Linked DNA regions of Saccharomyces cerevisiae S288C. Changing the gene in region 2 together with the main gene of any one other region gives a genetic interaction. Each region holds a gene or a part of one and is shown on either strand. Other genes may lie near its edges.

Region 1 (6,030 bases), on a different chromosome or scaffold from region 2:
GACGAGATAAAGCTATATCTGTTGTTGTTGTTATTGCCTTTGAGACCATATTGAACGAACCCGTTATTATCCGTAGGTAAATTGTCTAGATTCAGATCCTTAGGCAATTCGTTCACTTCGGTGCTTAGACACTGAGTGGAGCCGCCGGAGACGACTCTAAGTCCTTTGTCCTCGACCTTTCGCACCCCATGATTTTCTGGATCTTCCAAAGGAGTAGCAGGAACAGGAACGTATGAGGGGAGCAACCCTTCGGCGTTTTTCCGTAATATCGGTTCTTCCGCACAGACTTTGGCCTCAAATGAAGGGGGATTGCGTTCTTTCTTTTGTACTTGCGCAACGGATTCTGAACTGCGCAGCTGCTCTAGTTTGTCCTTGATGCTTTGTTTAATGATGTTTTTCTCTATGTTCAATGGATCAGGGTTTGAATTCTGGCCTTCACTAGTAGTTTTCTTGCTATTCTTCAATAGGGCAGATAGCAATGGCAGATTACTGGTTGTTTGAGATAGGTACTCGGGTTTTAACATCTTTGGAGTGTTGTTCAAAAACTGAAACCTAATAGGCGATACAGACCTCATAGTGTCAGAGCCCCTTCTTTGTTTAGAACGTCCACCTCTTGATAACTCGCTCAATTTAGAGAGTGATGTTGGATATAACAAGGAATTACCAATCGGGCCAGTGTCTAATTTTAGCTTCGTAGGTGAGTTCAATAGATTTTGAAAAGAGCCTGCATTTCTTTGGTCATCCAAACAAAAGGACATTGGTGAGAGTTTTGGAGTAAGTTGTTCCGATTTCATTGTTGGAGAATTCATTTTTTTAGTTGTTTAGTTTATTAGTTGTGTTTTTTTTTTTTGATTTTGCAATGAGTACTGGCTTGTAACAAGTTAAAAGAAAAGAAGATTAGTTAAGAACAACGGAATTGAAACGAAAGTAAAATAGTTGGAACCGAGGATAACTATGTTGATTTAAAAGACTTCACACGCGATTCTTTTTCCTTACTGCTATTTAGGAAGATGTGCCCCTCCAAACCTTTCCTTTATTCCCAAGGCAATCAAAATAACAGAAAATACAGCAGTAATAAAGCTTAATTCTCTAGGCTCACTTAAACTGAGCAACAATTTGTTGATCGTACGTGTTATTTAATACTATCAGGAAAAAATAATCTAAATGTGAGAAAAACTTCTATCTGTAACCACTTTGTCTTGAATGAACGTAGAAAATTTAAAAACGATCAAGCTTGCGTGAGAGAACTTGTAAAGTAAGGAAATCTGATTTCTAAACCCATAATGATTCTTCATCGAGCTTTCTTGCCAATTGGCTAATTAGAACTCTTTTTAGTTTATTTCCCGAAAGGGGTATTTATATTTTGCCCGTTTGGGACAAAATTAACCCTGCTTACACCAGGGTTTATCTAGAAATAAAATAGGTCATTGTTTTGAGATGACTTGGAAAAACTTAACCCTGATGTGACTGTAACATAACATCTAAGAAAAAAGGGACTAAAAGTCAACAGAAGGAGTAGATCGGAAAGTCATTGCATTTATCACTGATAAAGTCATGGCTGTCAAAAAGTAAACATCAGAAGTTCAGTTGCACTTTATGCTTTGGTGAAAATCCGTATAACTTAAAAGAATGCCCATCACTCAAATCATATCAGCGTCTGATAGCGAGGCGGGGCCAAAACCAAGCATTTCGTTGGTACCTGATAAGCCATCTGAGCCAGAAACTTCCCCTAGGCATCATCGCCTTTCAAGGTCACTTTCGAAGTTCAAGCGCTGGAGAGGAAGATCAAATAGCAGTTTATCGATGGGGTCGTCTGAGCAGCAAGAACTGCAGGACAGTCCAAATGAAGCCCGTAGTGATGATGACGAAAACGGTTACAATAACGATAATGCAGATGACTTGGCGAAATCCAAGTATATGATGAAAAGTATTGCCGGTTTATTAACTACTGCTAGTGTGTATGCAGGGATGAATAATGCTCAAGAAATGAATGTGTTGTCGCAAGTTGATTCTGAAGAATCTGATTCCAGTGATAGTTTCCAGGAAAACATTGGTCGAAATGAGGTAAAAAGCAAAAAGGAAAATCTCAAAACTAAATCGCATCCGGAAGTACCAAGATTAGACAAAAGAAAGCCAACTTTATTCGACTTCTCAATAACTAGGGAAAAACTGTCAAAAGACAATGTGGCTAAGTTGAGACAGCGGTTTTGTTTAGACGAACAGGAACCATTTTTGAATGATTTCCCTGCATGGCTACTTAAAGATGTGTTGGTTCAAGGCCATATTTTTATTACAACAAAACATTTCCTATTCTTTGCATATTTACCTAAGAATCCTCGGTCGGTTAAAATGTCTGGAAACCTTAATATCAGGACAAAACTAATTAGGTCTACCAGGTATTGGTGCGTACTAAAGAATCATTTATTTTCTATGTATACCTCATCAACTGAGCTATACTTTCCGGTTTTAACCATAGATTTGAGGGAGGTCCAAAAAATTGAAACACAAAAACATACCTTAAACGGGAGTGCTACGAAAACATTTAAGCTTTACACAGATGAAAGTACATTCAAATTCAATGCAGATTCAGAGTTCTCCGCTAAATCGTGGGTGAACGCTTTGAAAAAGGAGCAGTTCGCAGCTCAGAATTCTGAAAACAATTCGATAAGTTTAAAAATTCCGCTGCCCAACATTATAGAGATAGATGATCAACCTATAGTCAACAAAGCTTTAACATTGAGATTAAGAGCTTTGGAGAGCTCACAGACCTATGCTATCGATGATTTCATGTTTGTTTTCATGGATGGGTCCGGTAGTCAGGTCAAAGAGAGCCTTGGCGAACAGTTGGCTATATTGCAGAAATCCGGTGTTAATACACTTTATTATGATATTCCAGCCAAGAAATCAAAATCAAGTTTTGGAAAAGAGACACCAGCTACAGTTGAGCAAAAGAATAACGGCGAGGATTCAAAATATTTGAATGTTCCAACTTCGGCTGTGCCTTCTTCGGAAAATGGGAAAAAGAGTCGATTCAGATTTAGAGAAAGAAGCAATAGTTGGTTTCGTAGAGCTAAACCTCTTGAAGATTCTCAAGTTGAGGATGTGGAGGAAATATATAAAGATGCGGCGAATGATATAGACTCTTCTGTGCATTCCACGATTCATATTCATGAACAAGAAGATAGTCAAGAGCAAACCGTAGCTTGGAAGCCAAGTCACCTCAAAAATTTTGCCGAAATGTGGGCTGCCAAACCAATACACTACCGGAACAAGTTTATCCCGTTTCAAAAGGATGATACCTATTTGATTAAAGAAACAGAAGAGGTTTCTGCTAACGAGCGGTTCAGGTACCATTTCAAGTTTAATAAAGAGAAGTCACTAATCAGTACTTACTACACATACCTGAATAGAAATGTTCCCGTTTATGGTAAGATTTACGTATCCAATGATACGGTGTGCTTCAGATCGTTATTACCAGGGTCTAATACATACATGGTTTTGCCATTGGTTGATGTGGAGACATGCTATAAAGAAAAGGGATTTCGATTTGGTTATTTTGTATTGGTTATAGTAATTCACGGTCACGAGGAGCTATTTTTTGAATTTAGCACTGAGGTCGCCAGGGATGATATTGAACGCATTCTTTTAAAGCTCTTAGATAACATATATGCAAGCAGTGCAGAAGGATCGAATATATCGAGTGCTTCTCTTGGCGATGTTCAGCATAACCCTGACTCAGCGAAGTTGAAGCTTTTCGAAGATAAAATTAATGCCGAGGGCTTTGAGGTACCGTTAATGATTGATGAGAATCCGCACTATAAAACAAGCATAAAACCAAACAAGAGTTATAAGTTTGGATTATTGACGATTGGCTCAAGAGGGGATGTTCAACCATATATTGCACTTGGAAAGGGCTTGATAAAAGAAGGTCACCAAGTGGTAATAATTACACATTCGGAATTTAGAGACTTTGTTGAAAGTCATGGAATCCAGTTTGAAGAGATTGCTGGTAACCCAGTGGAGTTGATGTCCTTGATGGTGGAAAATGAATCAATGAATGTTAAAATGCTGAGAGAAGCTTCGAGCAAATTTAGGGGATGGATCGATGCTCTTTTACAGACATCTTGGGAGGTTTGTAACAGAAGAAAATTTGATATTCTGATTGAATCACCCTCAGCTATGGTTGGTATTCATATTACTGAAGCATTGCAAATTCCTTATTTTCGAGCATTTACCATGCCATGGACAAGAACAAGAGCATATCCACATGCATTTATTGTACCAGATCAAAAAAGGGGCGGTAACTATAACTACCTGACACATGTCCTTTTCGAAAACGTTTTCTGGAAGGGAATTAGTGGGCAAGTAAACAAGTGGAGAGTTGAAACTCTAGGTTTAGGGAAAACAAATCTTTTTCTTTTACAGCAGAATAATGTTCCTTTCTTATACAATGTTTCTCCTACAATTTTTCCGCCATCAATTGATTTTAGCGAGTGGGTGAGAGTTACAGGATATTGGTTTCTTGATGATAAGAGTACTTTCAAACCGCCAGCAGAATTACAAGAATTTATTTCTGAGGCAAGATCAAAAGGAAAAAAATTGGTTTATATCGGGTTTGGTTCGATTGTAGTCTCTAATGCCAAAGAAATGACGGAAGCTCTTGTCGAAGCAGTTATGGAAGCAGATGTATACTGCATTTTAAATAAGGGATGGTCAGAAAGGTTGGGCGATAAGGCGGCAAAGAAGACAGAGGTAGATCTTCCAAGAAACATTTTAAATATCGGAAACGTTCCCCATGATTGGTTGTTCCCACAAGTCGATGCTGCCGTTCACCATGGTGGTTCTGGAACTACTGGAGCTTCATTACGTGCTGGTTTACCTACTGTTATAAAACCTTTCTTTGGTGATCAGTTCTTTTATGCAGGTAGAGTAGAAGACATTGGAGTTGGTATTGCTTTAAAGAAACTTAACGCTCAAACATTAGCAGATGCTTTAAAAGTAGCTACGACGAACAAAATAATGAAGGATAGAGCTGGATTAATAAAGAAGAAAATTTCCAAAGAAGATGGGATTAAAACTGCAATAAGTGCAATTTACAACGAACTTGAGTATGCAAGAAGCGTTACTTTATCAAGAGTGAAAACTCCGCGCAAGAAAGAGGAAAATGTAGATGCAACCAAACTGACACCTGCTGAAACAACGGATGAAGGGTGGACGATGATTTAAACCGAGTATCACTCTCACTTTTATAAAAAAGCGTAACATCTAATCATTAATAGTAATAAATAATTAATTTTTTTTTTGTAAGTTTCAGTCATATTTGTACTCAGGAAAGATATGAAAACGATAATGTTGATAATAAGAATAATAGTAACAATAATAAAAAAGTAAAAAAATAAAGCTTAATTTGAGTTTCCTAAACGTACCGTATGTTGTGCATCTAATATTAATTTAATGTGTATAAAGGCGTACAAGGAGCTTTAAAAAAAAACTGTTTGTGTAAATTACATTGGGCATCATTTAAATTATAGAATACACAATTTCATATTCAGCAAACATAATGCGATAATTAATTGTCTTCCAACACATACCATAACTGTGGCATAGAAAAGTGATTCCATACTGCGGCAACTTCTTATACTTCCCGGGCAACACTATTGTCCAAATCTATCACTCCCCCTTTTCCTTCCTCGTCCTGCTGTTCGGCAAGCAGCGCATTTAGTTCACTATTAGGAATGGCGATTAGATCTCGGAATGAACCGGTTTCAACCACTGAGCCATGTTTTCCTAACACAATCACCCTAGTACTGTGTTTGATCGTCGAAAGCCTATGTGCAATTGATATAGTAGTGAACCCCCTTTCCACACGTCTCTGAAGATTTTTGGCAACTATTTCTTCACTTTGAGAGTCAAGGGCACTGGTTGCTTCATCTAAAATAAGGACGGCAGGATCTAGTAAAAACGCTCTAGCTAATGCAATTCTTTGCTTTTGACCACCGGACAATTGCGCGCCTCTAGCACCAACCATAG
Region 2 (4,745 bases):
CATGTTACACCTTATATGACTATATTTTTACATGAGAAAACTGCAAAGGAAATACTAGACGATTTCAGGAAAAGGGCAGTAGATAATATTCCAGTTGGACCGAATTTCCAAGACGAAGAGGATGAGGGTGAAGATTTGTGTAATTGTGAATTTTCCTTGGCATATGGTGCCAAAATATTACTAAACAAGACTCAATTGAGGTTGAAGCGAGGTAGGAGATATGGTCTATGTGGTCCTAATGGTGCCGGAAAATCCACTCTAATGCGATCCATTGCTAATGGCCAAGTTGACGGGTTCCCCACTCAGGATGAATGTCGCACTGTTTATGTGGAACACGATATCGATAATACACATTCGGACATGTCCGTTTTAGATTTTGTATATTCCGGCAATGTAGGAACTAAGGATGTTATTACCTCGAAATTAAAGGAGTTTGGGTTCAGCGATGAAATGATAGAAATGCCAATTGCATCCCTATCTGGAGGTTGGAAAATGAAATTAGCTTTGGCGAGGGCTGTTCTGAAGGACGCTGACATTCTACTATTGGATGAACCAACAAATCATCTAGACACTGTTAATGTGGAGTGGCTGGTAAATTATTTGAATACTTGCGGAATTACATCGGTGATTGTCTCTCATGATTCTGGTTTTCTGGATAAGGTTTGTCAATACATCATACATTATGAGGGTCTTAAATTAAGAAAGTACAAGGGTAATTTATCAGAATTTGTTCAAAAATGTCCTACGGCACAATCATACTATGAATTAGGTGCCTCTGACCTTGAATTTCAATTCCCAACTCCTGGTTATCTAGAAGGTGTCAAAACGAAGCAAAAGGCAATTGTTAAAGTAAGTAATATGACTTTTCAATATCCAGGGACAACTAAACCACAAGTCTCAGATGTTACTTTCCAGTGTTCTCTATCCTCAAGGATTGCAGTTATCGGACCTAATGGGGCTGGTAAGTCCACTTTAATTAATGTTCTTACTGGTGAACTGTTACCAACCAGCGGTGAAGTATATACACACGAGAATTGTCGTATAGCGTATATTAAGCAGCACGCTTTTGCACACATTGAATCGCACTTAGACAAAACTCCATCCGAATACATTCAATGGAGGTTCCAAACTGGTGAGGATAGGGAAACAATGGATAGAGCAAATAGGCAAATAAATGAAAATGACGCAGAGGCCATGAATAAAATATTTAAAATTGAAGGGACCCCAAGAAGGGTTGCAGGAATCCATTCAAGAAGGAAATTTAAAAACACGTATGAGTACGAATGTTCGTTTTTGTTAGGTGAGAACATTGGTATGAAATCTGAAAGATGGGTTCCAATGATGTCTGTCGACAATGCTTGGCTACCAAGGGGCGAATTGATTGAATCCCATTCTAAAATGGTTGCTGAAATTGATATGAAGGAAGCTTTGGCTTCTGGTCAATTCAGGGCTTTAACAAGAAAAGAGATTGAATTACATTGCGCCATGTTGGGGTTGGATTCAGAATTAGTCTCACATTCAAGAATTAGAGGTTTATCGGGTGGGCAAAAGGTTAAATTGGTACTCGCTGCCTGCACGTGGCAAAGACCCCATTTGATTGTTTTAGATGAACCTACGAATTACTTGGACAGAGATTCATTGGGTGCTCTTTCAAAAGCATTAAAAGCTTTTGAAGGTGGTGTCATTATTATTACGCATTCGGCAGAATTTACTAAGAATCTGACTGACGAAGTTTGGGCGGTTAAGGATGGGAAAATGACACCCTCTGGCCATAATTGGGTTGCAGGACAAGGTGCTGGCCCAAGAATTGAGAAAAAAGAAGAAGAGGGTGATAAATTTGATGCTATGGGTAACAAGATTAATAGTGGGAAGAAAAAAAGCAAACTCTCTTCTGCAGAATTGAGAAAGAAAAAGAAGGAGAGAATGAAGAAGAAAAAAGAGATGGGTGATGAATACGTTTCTTCTGATGAAGATTTTTAATTTGAAGTCGAGTACATCTCTTTCAGTGAGTAACTTATATATTTTTGAAGTTAACATCCTTATTCTTTTTTTATATTTTTATTTTTTTTATGTTTATTTTCTATTACTGATTTTCACAAAGAAAGGTAAAAAAAAACATACTTCAGCGGCTATACAACCATATTTAAGTAAATGCACTCAGAGAAAGTATACAAGTAAAAAACCTAAGTAAAGACATAAATATCCCAAAATAATGCAAAAACTCCTCTTTGTCTTTTCTGTGTTATTGACAGTAGTACTAGCAACAGCACCATTTCAGGTACAATGTCCTAGCTCTCCACTTATTAGGGAGGCCAAAGTAAGTTAAACTCTTTGCCACTTTAACAAATATGGGCCAAAACTAACCGAATATACCAAAACTTCGTATTCCTTTGTTTATTAGCATGAACTCTGTCCAGAAGAAACCTTGTATCTGAAGAAAAAAAAAATTAAAACGAAGAATAAACTGATTCAGTTTTTAAAATCCTTGACAGAGGCAAAGTTTAGTTCGAAGTTTTATAAACGCGTGTTGAAAGATCCTCCAAAAATTGGGATTGCTATATCTGGCGGCGGGTACAGATCCATGTTAGTAGGTACCGGATTTATTTCCCAAATGAACGATTATGGCCTTTTTGAATATTCGGATTATATTGCTGGATTATCAGGCGGAAGTTGGATCTTGATGGATTTGGTAGTTCAAAATTTTGAAGTAAAATCCCTGCTACAAGAGTGGGACCTTGAAGAGGATCTTTTATTAGGCATACCGGAATTCGATATTTCCGAAGAAGAAATTGTTACCAATGCAAAAAAGGAGTATAATGATAATGATTTGAAGATGAAGAAGCGTCAGGGGGGTTCTCTGATTACAAGCTCTTCAAATTTTTATGAACAAATAGAGGAGATCATGAATTCCATAGAAGAAATCCCAGAAGACTATATGATAACGAAGAGAAACTTGAATCCATTAGCAAGACTAAAAAAAATATTCTTTCCTAACAACACTTTCACTGGAACTGATGCGAAGATTGAAACCTTTAAAAAAGTGCTAGACTTTTACAAAAGTTTGCATTTGAAAATTAAGCCTAAAAAAATGGAGGGTTTCCAAATATCGTTCACCGATTATTGGGGTAAAGCAATCGTTCAAAGACTAAAAAAAAATTTCGATGACGATCCCAACCATTCCTTTTCGTTTTCGAAGCTTGTAAACTCGTCTAAAAAATTTAAGGAATGCAGTGTGCCGATCCCAATATTCGTTGCAAATTGCAAAAATGGACTTCTTTCAAACGTTATATTTGAATTTACGCCCTTTGAATTTGGATCTTGGGAAAATATCCTCAGACTTTTCGTCAAGTTGCCCTATTTGGGCTCAAAAATTGTTTCTGGAAAGGCCGAGAAGTGTATTAATAACTTTGATGATCTAGGTTTTATTACTGCGACGTCTTCTTCAATATTCAACAATGTGCTCATCTTCATCTGGAATTTGGCTTCTCAGTCCTCCAGAGAAGCAATGAAAGCTTTGAATATGGTTATGGGAATTTTTGGCCTAGGTAAAGAGGAAATATTTAGTATTTCGAAAGACTCCTCGAGATTAGAGACAGACTATGCCGTATATCAACCCAATCCCTTTTATCTTTATCCTGAAAAAGACAATGTCCTAACTAACAAAAATCATTTATACCTTGTAGACGGCGGAGAAGACGGCGAGAATATTCCACTCAGAACATTGGTGATTCCTGAAAGGGAACTAGATGTAATTTTTGTTCTGGATTCTAGTTCGGATATTGACAACTATCCAAACGGCTCCAAGTTAAAAAGGATATTCGAAAAATTAGATGAAGAGAACGTTCATTACCAATTTCCGAACAATGTAAAAACATTCACTCACCCCATTGTTATAGGATGCAATGCTACCAAAAGAACTGGACATGATTCATTTTTGCCAATTATAATTTATCATGCCAATGCGAATCATGGAAACGCATCTAATACGTCGACATTCAAAATAACTTACAATCAGTCTGAAGTTAGCAGTATGTTACCCACTGGAAGGGGAGTGTTTAGCAATGATTATGACCTTTATTATAAAAATTGCTTAGGCTGTATATTAACCAAAAGAACAATGGACAGGCTCCCAAGAAAAAAGAAATTTTCGCCATTTTGCTTACAATGCTTTAAAGACTACTGTTACTCATAAGAGAGTAGACTTTTTCTGTGAAATTTAATGAGTTTTTGTTCACCTTTTTTACTTTTCTTCTATGCCATATGGTTAAATAAAACATGGTTCAAACGCGATTCTTTTTTATTATCTATGTCTTTATTATGTAGTCTTCACTATAATAACCGTTAATGAGCGACATAGTTGCATCAGTTTTTAAGGCCAATTTGATTCAGAACCTTTTCAAGTTCTTCACTTTCCATCTTATCCGAAGACGCGATCTGGTGGCATCTAATACTATGCTTCTCGAATATCGTTTCATCAATTTCAATTTCACCATTTTTTAGGTAAACAATATCAGTAATAAAATCTTGCCATTCAAAGTCATCATTCTCTGAATGGACACCCTTAGATTGCCTATAGCCTGCTATTGCCCTACTCATAGAATCTATGATCATTTGAACGTAGTGTAAACCGTCTAAACCAAAAACCTCTCTATCATATTTATTATTTATGAGCAAAACTTTTTTCGTATTATTAGATTCCAAAATTACTTCAGCAAGATTACCAAGAATAAGGATTGGGAGTAAAC
Region 3 (5,084 bases), 260 kb from region 2:
CAGCATGTTTTCATTTGAAACAAATACTAATGCAATAATAGGTACACCATCTACTACATAATTAATTGATAGTTTCCTTTTCCGTTAAGTGCATGCATAGGACGCCCATAATTTTTTAAGTTAAAAAAGCATGTATTTACCTATTCGGGAAATTTACATGACATGGATGCCATAAGGAACGAAAATGAAACATGCATGTCAGAGGAAAAAGAACAAAGCGAGAGGAAAAAGCTGTTGCATTACCACGTAATTTTGTATATAAATATCTGATAAATAACCATTTTATTTCCATCCACTTCTTCTGTCGTTCATCCGTTCATTGACATCACTAGAGACACCAGCGAGCTATCATCTTCATACAACAATAACTACCAACCTTAATGCAACCGATCACCACTGCTTCCACACAAGCCACTCAGAAGGATAAATCCTCTGAAAAGAAAGACAACTATATAATCAAGGGCCTCTTCTGGGATCCCGCCTGTGTTATCGCTTAATTTTTGACGACAACCAAGAGGTCAAATCAATATCTACCCTTTCATTTATTACGTGTTGCTGGCAAACTAATTTATTCCAATTCTCTCATCATTAGCTCACCCTTTCCATACTTTTTCATACTTTTATACATATGTATTTGTAGTTATCACTTTAACAGATTTTTTCATGTTTTTCTTTTCTGATACGCCTTTCCCTCCGCAGGAAATGAAAGATGAACCACCCATTACATTCGATTTTTTTTTTAATTATATTTTTGACTATTATTTAATCATTAAAAACACATATATTTCATAAATTCGTAAGGTCGTTAGTTCTATCGTAAAAGTGAAAAAGTTTTGAGCCAGTTTTCAAAAACCCGCAGGATCCCACTATGTATGGCTTTAAATAATGGTTTTTCACGTGCATCAAGTCCGTACTATCTTCACCACTATAAACTCTTATAGGTGGATTATTCGTTTCGAATGCTGGTGGCAGTGCCGGTTTGAAAATAATCTTACCTACCCATGGGTGGTCTTCCGTTAACGGTTTGATGCATCTTAATGAGTCTTTGATATATCTTTTCCTTGAAACTAGTTGTGTCGCCGGTGCCCACTTCGAATCGTTACTGGATTGATTCTTATTTCCACATTTTAGTGACAATTTCTTTGGAAAATCATGATTTAAACAACCAGTCACGGAAAAGCTTTTCGTACTGAATATTGTACCGTACTCAACGTCCGCATTCTCATAGCGAGATTCTCTTTCATCCAAATATACCAATCTATTGATGTCATCATCCTCAACATATCCATCTTCATCATCCTCTTCGTAATTAGCATCGTCTTCGTCTTCGTCATCATCTTCATCTCCATTTACATCTTCATTGCCACGGTTTAACTTTTCTTCACGATTCGTACGCTCAGCAGAATTCGAAATAGTTGACCTTCCTGTTCCCTCGTATACCGGTTCAAAATTATTAATTTTCAACACTGACCGATCACAGCGCAAAGGATCTATAGGGTTGGAATTCGATCTACTTCTGAAGTTTTCATGGATGGATGTTTGTGCCGTTAAAACAGAATGTGCTGTGGGAGAAAAAGTGGAAGATAGAACAGAAGTATTGGTATTAGTAGTACTACCATTGTCATCGATTTCTTCTTGAACACTATTCAGTTCCTTCGATCTCATTTTTTGTCCAATGTCCATATTAGAGTTTTTTCTCGAACTGGAATCTGTTTTAAAGAAATTTCTTAGTTTTGATGTAAATAAGCCACAAAAATCAGTTTGAGAACTCTCCCCTGCCAATGAACCAGAGTCATTGGGCCCATTGGAGTCATGACTCGCATCGGATACAGAGGGAGGTAGCAAGCTTAAACTTCTTGATCTTGATTTGTTTGTCGGACGTTCGTTGCCGGTGGCCACTTTTGTTACAACAGAAGAGGTGTGTGATCTTCTTAAAAGTAAAGAGTGGGAGCGAGAATCATTTCTATCACTATTTTGTCTGCTCTTGTTTTTGTTTTTGTTCTTATTGTGTTGCTTAAATCTTCTTGCCCTCGGATGTCTCCTTCTGGGAACGCTTCTATAGGTGGGCATTTCCCTCAATTCCAGATCCAAGGACAGGGATATACCCATGTTCAAATACATAGCCCAATAGATCAATTCGTCTACATGAGAAAACTGCACTAGAAACTGTTGTCCCTCACAACGCATTCTTAAAACAAAATCTCTAGAGGAATAATCTATAGGCAGACCAACTTTGGCACATTGCAGGGAGTAACTCTTAAAGAGGCGCTCATCTGATAAAAATTTGTGCTCGTCTCGTGCTATTTCCCCGCATATCCTTTCCTTGTCATATTTATCGAATTGGTAAGTGGATTTCGTCGTGAACGCATTTAATAACGACCGAGCCGAATGATGGCGATCGCTAGCAGTTTTGGAATGGTGGGAATGGTCAAACATGTCACCACCACGATAGTTTTTAATATGCCTGGTTAATGAATCGTCAATAGAATAAAAGTTTATCTGCGTAGAGTTTATTTGAAGAATAAAGTTGTTCCATAATCGAGAAGAAGCATTTTCAAAGGGCGATAGTTTTTCCATCTTCATAGAAACCACAGTATAGTGTTCTACAGACGGTGTATAACTGGGAGGTTTCACAGAAGTGAGGCACGGACGACAATGCTCATATATAGGGTACCTAATGACTTTAGACGGATTCGCAAAATCATAACACGGAGGTTCCACTGGGTACGGATCTATGCAGTAAAGCACGTTTTTGTCAGCAACATCAACATCTACTCCGGATTGTGGCTCCACTATTTCGTTCATGATGTTTGTGTTAATGTCTGTTATGCTATCGATATGGTTAAAAGTCACTTTCGGAAGCGGAGAATCCAGAATAGAATTACTAGTAGTACTGGAACAAAGAAACTCGTCGCCCATGGATATGGATGAGGCTGTCTGTGAAAGCTTCAGCCCCGTACTATCCATACCGTCGTGGTCTATTGTCATTTCAAAGATGCTGGAGGACATTTTCTGAATAGGTCCGTTTATCTCTTCTGCTGTCTGCGAAAACAACGTAAAAAAATAGTGCTTAGTGTTACTGCCTGTGTAACAACTAGTGCCAAAGTTACAAAGAAACTTCACTAACAGTTTTTGCAATTTACCAAGAAAGCACCAACAAAATAAATAAATAGCATGCCTGTATATATTACGAAAAGTCCTTCAACTACGTCTTCCACTTGCTCTATCCCTTGGCGGAAAACAGAATACATGCAAATTTTAGAGAATTTTTCAAGATGCCTGCCCCCCACATTTTCTTACTTGATCAAGAGCAGATCTGTTCCTTTGCGCAGGGGGTTGCATGGGGGAGAAACTGGCCGGAAGCAGCCGAAAGAAAGTTCGCAAAAAGATAATGGGGACAGTATTAGAGAAAACGGCGTGGAGGGGTATGGAGGAAACAGTTAGCATAGGTAACGAAAAACCGCAGCAAAATAATTCTCTCTTTTTTTCTTTTGACTTAGTTGTGGGACCCGGATCATTCGGTACTGCATCTTATTCCCGTGCCAAGGTCTCTGGGTGTTGCTGATTTCCGGGTATCCAGAGCTCTATCTGCTTCCGTACCCAGTGAGTGAGCTAAAATAAAAAAGGGGCCTCGGCGGAATTTGAATTCGGGTTACGTTTCCCACGGAGCCCCGGATAGAAAAGATTAGTTTCAGGTACATGTGTCAAATGAGGATAAATCTCAAACACCCATGTACCGAAAATCGATGTGTTGGTTATATTACAAGGTTGGAATAGACCACGGTGATAAGACGTGGAATTTTTGACTGACCATGCGACTCTGAAGGTGTTAACCGGAGGAATTCACGTAATTTACATCTCAAGAACAGCAGAACAAAGATCGAGTATATGATGAAATTTCGTTTTACATGAATAAAGTCATATTTTAACTCACTGTGCACGGATTAAGGGCTGTGATTTAGTGGGACGAGTGGTTCTACACTACTCAAGAAGTCACGCTGTCATTTGATGGAATTACAGTGCTTATTAGGAGCCGTGTAGCTTAGTGTGAATTGATGGAAGCTTTCGAGTTTCATAGAACATATCTGGTGAATGTATATGAGTTTTTCATTCCTTTTACGAGACGCAACTTTCCGCGGTTACGGAACTGTTGTTTTGTTTTACATCTTTTCATTTTTCATACATTTTATTGAGGCGTAGAAATGAAATGGGTAGAGCGGCACATGGATGTAACAATCTCCATTATTCACGTCGAGCCGATACCCGCTTCTGTTGACGCTCTGTTAAGCATAGAACCTACGAGATTTGTGCTAAAGGACGTTGGCAAGGAAGAAAACTATTGTTGATGACAGGATTTATAGCAGTAAATATTTTTTTCTTTTTTGCGAAATTATGTACGTTTCTCATCCAAGAAGAATCCTGTTAATATTTAAATTTCTGCTAGTCATTATCATATTGCAATGGCTTTTATTAGTGAAAGCCACTGTCAACAGTAACTGAGCTACTCCCTCCAATGTTGTCTAACTCTATGCTCTTTTTGGCGTCTGAATGAGCCATAACGAGGGAAATAACTGTATCAGGAATACTAACAGAATACAGATTGGATGCACTGGTGCTGGTGAGTTTTCTTTTTCTGATATTATTGGATAATATTTTCAGCTATAGACTATCATCATTCAGCATTGGTCACGCTAAAATATACGTTCCATGCATACGTGATAGCCTACTCGGTTGTCAACTTCATTTTATAGGCTGCCTGGTCACCGATTACCGCCCCGCTCAGCAGGACGGTTTAAGCTTCTGTTCTTGGAAACGACGTAATTCATGTCGGCCATCGAAATCATTCCTGGCTTTGTAATAGTCATAATGAACAAGGAATGCTGTCTTGGGTTTTTTTCCCTTTGCGAATACCCGGGCTGCCAAAATAGAAAAGGAACAAATGGTAGGTCTTTAAGATAAGAAAGATAAGATAAGACATCTTTTTTTTTTTTTTTTTTTTTTTTTTTTTTTTCCGATAACAAAGAAGAATCCTTCGGTCTCTTCTTACTGCTGTTACTGCTTATCAAGAGTGTCTGGTAATAGTC
Region 4 (3,212 bases), on a different chromosome or scaffold from region 2:
ATTCGGTATCGAGTGGTACGAGCAATAGCGAAGATGAAGTAGATTCACCTTCGATGGAAAAAAATTCTATCGTTCATATGCCAGGTGATTTTATCTACTTCAATCCCAAGTCAAACGCTTCTAAACCTATCACTGCAAAGGCGGCGCCATTATCGGCTAATAACTCCACACATAAAAACAAGGAAGTTATCACTGCACCCACAGGGCCTCGTGTACCCTTCACAGAGTTCTTTCAGAAGGAAGACGACAAGAAATTCCACATTCTCATTGGTGCGACGGGCTCAGTTGCCACAATAAAAGTACCTCTAATTATTGATAAACTTTTCAAGATATATGGGCCTGAGAAAATCTCTATTCAGTTGATTGTCACAAAACCCGCTGAGCATTTTTTGAAAGGGCTCAAAATGTCAACACACGTTAAAATTTGGAGGGAGGAAGACGCTTGGGTATTCGACGCTGTGAATAAGAATGATACTAGCTTGAGTCTGAACTTGATATTGCACCATGAATTAAGAAAATGGGCTGATATTTTCCTGATTGCGCCTTTGTCAGCTAACACACTTGCTAAACTGGCCAATGGTATATGTAACAATTTGCTAACTTCTGTGATGAGAGATTGGTCACCACTGACCCCAGTGTTGATTGCGCCTGCAATGAATACATTCATGTATATCAATCCTATGACAAAGAAACACCTGACGAGTTTAGTGCAAGACTATCCGTTCATCCAAGTTTTGAAACCGGTGGAAAAGGTATTAATATGCGGAGATATTGGTATGGGTGGTATGAGAGAATGGACAGATATTGTAGAGATCGTTAGGAGGAGAATCAATGAAATACGGAAAGCTAGGGACGAGGAAACTGGTGATAAAGAGCAAGAACAAGAAGAACAAGAGGGTGCTGACAATGAGGACGACGATGATGAGGATGACGAAGAGGATGAGGAGGACGAGGAGGAGGAAGAAGCTCTAAATGAAACAGCATCCGATGAGAGCAATGACGAGGAAGACGAAGAGGATGAGGAAGACGTGAAAACCGAAGTTTAAATGCATTAGAAAAGAGTATTTTGTGTTATGTTTTATGTTTTATTTTTTTTTTTTTTGTTTATTCCTTAAAAGAAGATTACTGCTTTTTCATTCCCTAGTTTCTAAATTGAGTGCCTAAATAAGATTAAATAAATATGTATGTGGAAACTAGGGAGGGTATGTTTTTATTTACAGGAATAGTTGTAGTAATTCAAAAGCCTAAAGATTTCCAGAACCGTAATCTAAAGCCCTCAAAACTGTTTAATTTTGGTCTAACATCGAGATAAATAAGTGGTTGTTGCTGCGAGTTTGCATCGTTCAGATCGGTGGAATAGAAATCGATTACGTAGTCGACGGTTTTACCGCATCTATCTATCTGCCAATCATGTCTATCAAAAGGTTTGGCCAGGTGCAAGATACGGGACCTGAACCAGGCCCTTGGTGTCAGTTTTTTGGAATCACCTTTAAAATTTGTTAATTTGATACCGCCACACGCTTCACCACCCTGCTTGTCTTCCCAGCTTTTAATGTAGTTCCAAACCCGCTCATTGATGGAGTTATGTAAAGGCACAACCACCTTCATGTCATCTGAGTTCGGATCCCAATTTTTTTTCATCATTGCCTCGTAAAATTGTTTCTCCGACGGGTATATCCAGTTTCTGTCAGAATTCGTCCTTGGTATGGTGGAAACCTCTCTGGACTGAGAGAGATCCACCGTGGTGTGATATTCAGGCGTTTTATCGTTATCTTGTGGGTTTGCAGAGCACTCTAGTTGATTGCCTGGGGCAGTAGCACCAGGATGCGCTTCGTTGCCATGTTCTCGTAGCCATAACTTTTTGGTTTCCTCATCTACGGGGCATTTCCCCTGTTGGTCTGAAGACATCATAATATGTAAAATAGAGACGAATGAAAAGCACGTGAACTAACAAACTATTTACTACTACCGAAATGTGATGCTTAAGCCTTTGGCCTCTGCAATACTAGCGATTGCTTTTTCCCTGATTAGTAAGCTACATCATTTATACTACATCTTTCTGTCTTAGAAGGCTTACAAACATCGAAAAGCTGGAACTTTGATTTCGAAAAAAATATGCCGTTACCCGTTGCGGGTCCCTTTTTTTTAGAAGGCCGGCCCAGAAGTCGCCATTATTTTTAGTCATTACAGTAGCCCTGTTGGGTAAGGATGCGATGCAATACATGTCAAGAGGTGTTGTATATAAACCACAATATCTACCATCAATGAGCTATATATACTTTTCTTACTGAAAAAAAAAACTACAAAACCAAGTAAAAAAAGAACAATATGTCACTACAAAGCAACAGTGTAAAACCAACAGAAATTCCTCTCTCAGAGATCAGACGCCCCCTAGCGCCTGTGTTGGATCCTCAAAAGATCGACGCAATGGTGGCCACAATGAAGGGCATTCCCACCGCTAGCAAGACATGCTCTCTAGAACAGGCTGAGGCGGCTGCCTCAGCCGGGGAACTGCCGCCCGTGGACGTGCTGGGCGTGCGAGTCAAGGGACAGACGCTATATTATGCCTTCGGCGGCTGCCACCGTCTACAGGCATACGACCGCCGGGCTCGCGAAACGCAGAACGCCGCCTTCCCCGTGCGCTGCAGGGTGCTACCGGCCACTCCCCGCCAAATCCGCATGTACCTGGGCAGCAGTCTCGACATCGAATAATGATTACGCTAATAACACTACATAAGAAACATAGATAAATTATAATTCACTAATACAAAATCCCTCAATTTAATTAATCAATTTCTTATTCAACAACTAGAGTAGGCACTAGCAGTTTGTGCGACCCTCGGCGCCGGAGAGGTACAAGGGACCTGGCGGTTGGGCCTTCCTGCCAGCTTCTCCCCCCCTTCTCGGCATTCACTCAGCGTTCATTGGCTCAATCACGCGCCAAGCGGATTCCCAGAAAAATACAAAAAAAAGTTGCCATAATACAATGGCGGATATTACAATATATATAGCTTGCGCTTTAAAAAGAAGTGTTAGCACGCATTGGGTGTTTGTACTGTATTCCTCCACTTAAGATAACGAATACACATATAGATATACAATATATTATACGTGGACATCTACGGAAAGGAAGAAAAAAAACAAAAGGAAAAGGAAGGATACCATATACAATGTTGTCAAGAGTAGCTAAACGTGCGTTTTCCTCTACAGTT

The links.
Region 1: of SPO1 (region 2) and ATG26, extra expression of one rescues a mutant of the other (dosage rescue), as found in Saccharomyces cerevisiae (one study listed by BioGRID).
Region 3: mutations in SPO1 (region 2) and MPF1 together harm fitness more than expected from each alone (negative genetic interaction), as found in Saccharomyces cerevisiae (one large-scale study listed by BioGRID).
Region 4: mutations in SPO1 (region 2) and SRX1 together harm fitness more than expected from each alone (negative genetic interaction), as found in Saccharomyces cerevisiae (one large-scale study listed by BioGRID).

Annotation. Positions count from the first base shown.
Region 1 is NC_001144.5:529,993-536,022, reverse strand, and holds ATG26 (sterol 3-beta-glucosyltransferase), read left to right. Parts: upstream 1-1,629; coding exon 1,630-5,226; downstream 5,227-6,030. Other genes in the region: MMR1 (Mmr1p), read right to left, coding at 1-809; ATP-binding cassette permease MDL1, read right to left, coding at 5,636-6,030.
Region 2 is NC_001146.8:607,474-612,218, forward strand, and holds SPO1 (putative carboxylic ester hydrolase), read left to right. Parts: upstream 1-2,212; coding exon 2,213-2,317; intron 2,318-2,401; coding exon 2,402-4,192; downstream 4,193-4,745. Other genes in the region: HEF3 (translation elongation factor EF-3), read left to right, coding at 1-1,980; YNL011C (uncharacterized protein), read right to left, coding at 4,363-4,745. UniProt on the Saccharomyces cerevisiae protein: Regulates spindle pole duplication in meiosis I, but not in mitosis. Required for meiosis I, meiosis II chromosome segregation and spore formation. Binds phosphatidylinositol (4)P mono- and polyphosphates.
Region 3 is NC_001146.8:352,034-357,117, forward strand, and holds MPF1 (Mpf1p), read right to left. Parts: upstream 3,010-5,084; coding exon 787-3,009; downstream 1-786. Other genes in the region: MFA2 (mating pheromone a), read left to right, coding at 381-497; YNL143C (uncharacterized protein), read right to left, coding at 4,761-5,084.
Region 4 is NC_001143.9:275,953-279,164, forward strand, and holds SRX1 (sulfiredoxin), read left to right. Parts: upstream 1-2,328; coding exon 2,329-2,712; downstream 2,713-3,212. Other genes in the region: phosphopantothenoylcysteine decarboxylase complex subunit CAB3, read left to right, coding at 1-1,046; cytochrome c1 heme lyase CYT2, read right to left, coding at 1,237-1,911; malate dehydrogenase MDH1, read left to right, coding at 3,171-3,212. UniProt on the Saccharomyces cerevisiae protein: Contributes to oxidative stress resistance by reducing cysteine-sulfinic acid formed under exposure to oxidants in the peroxiredoxin TSA1.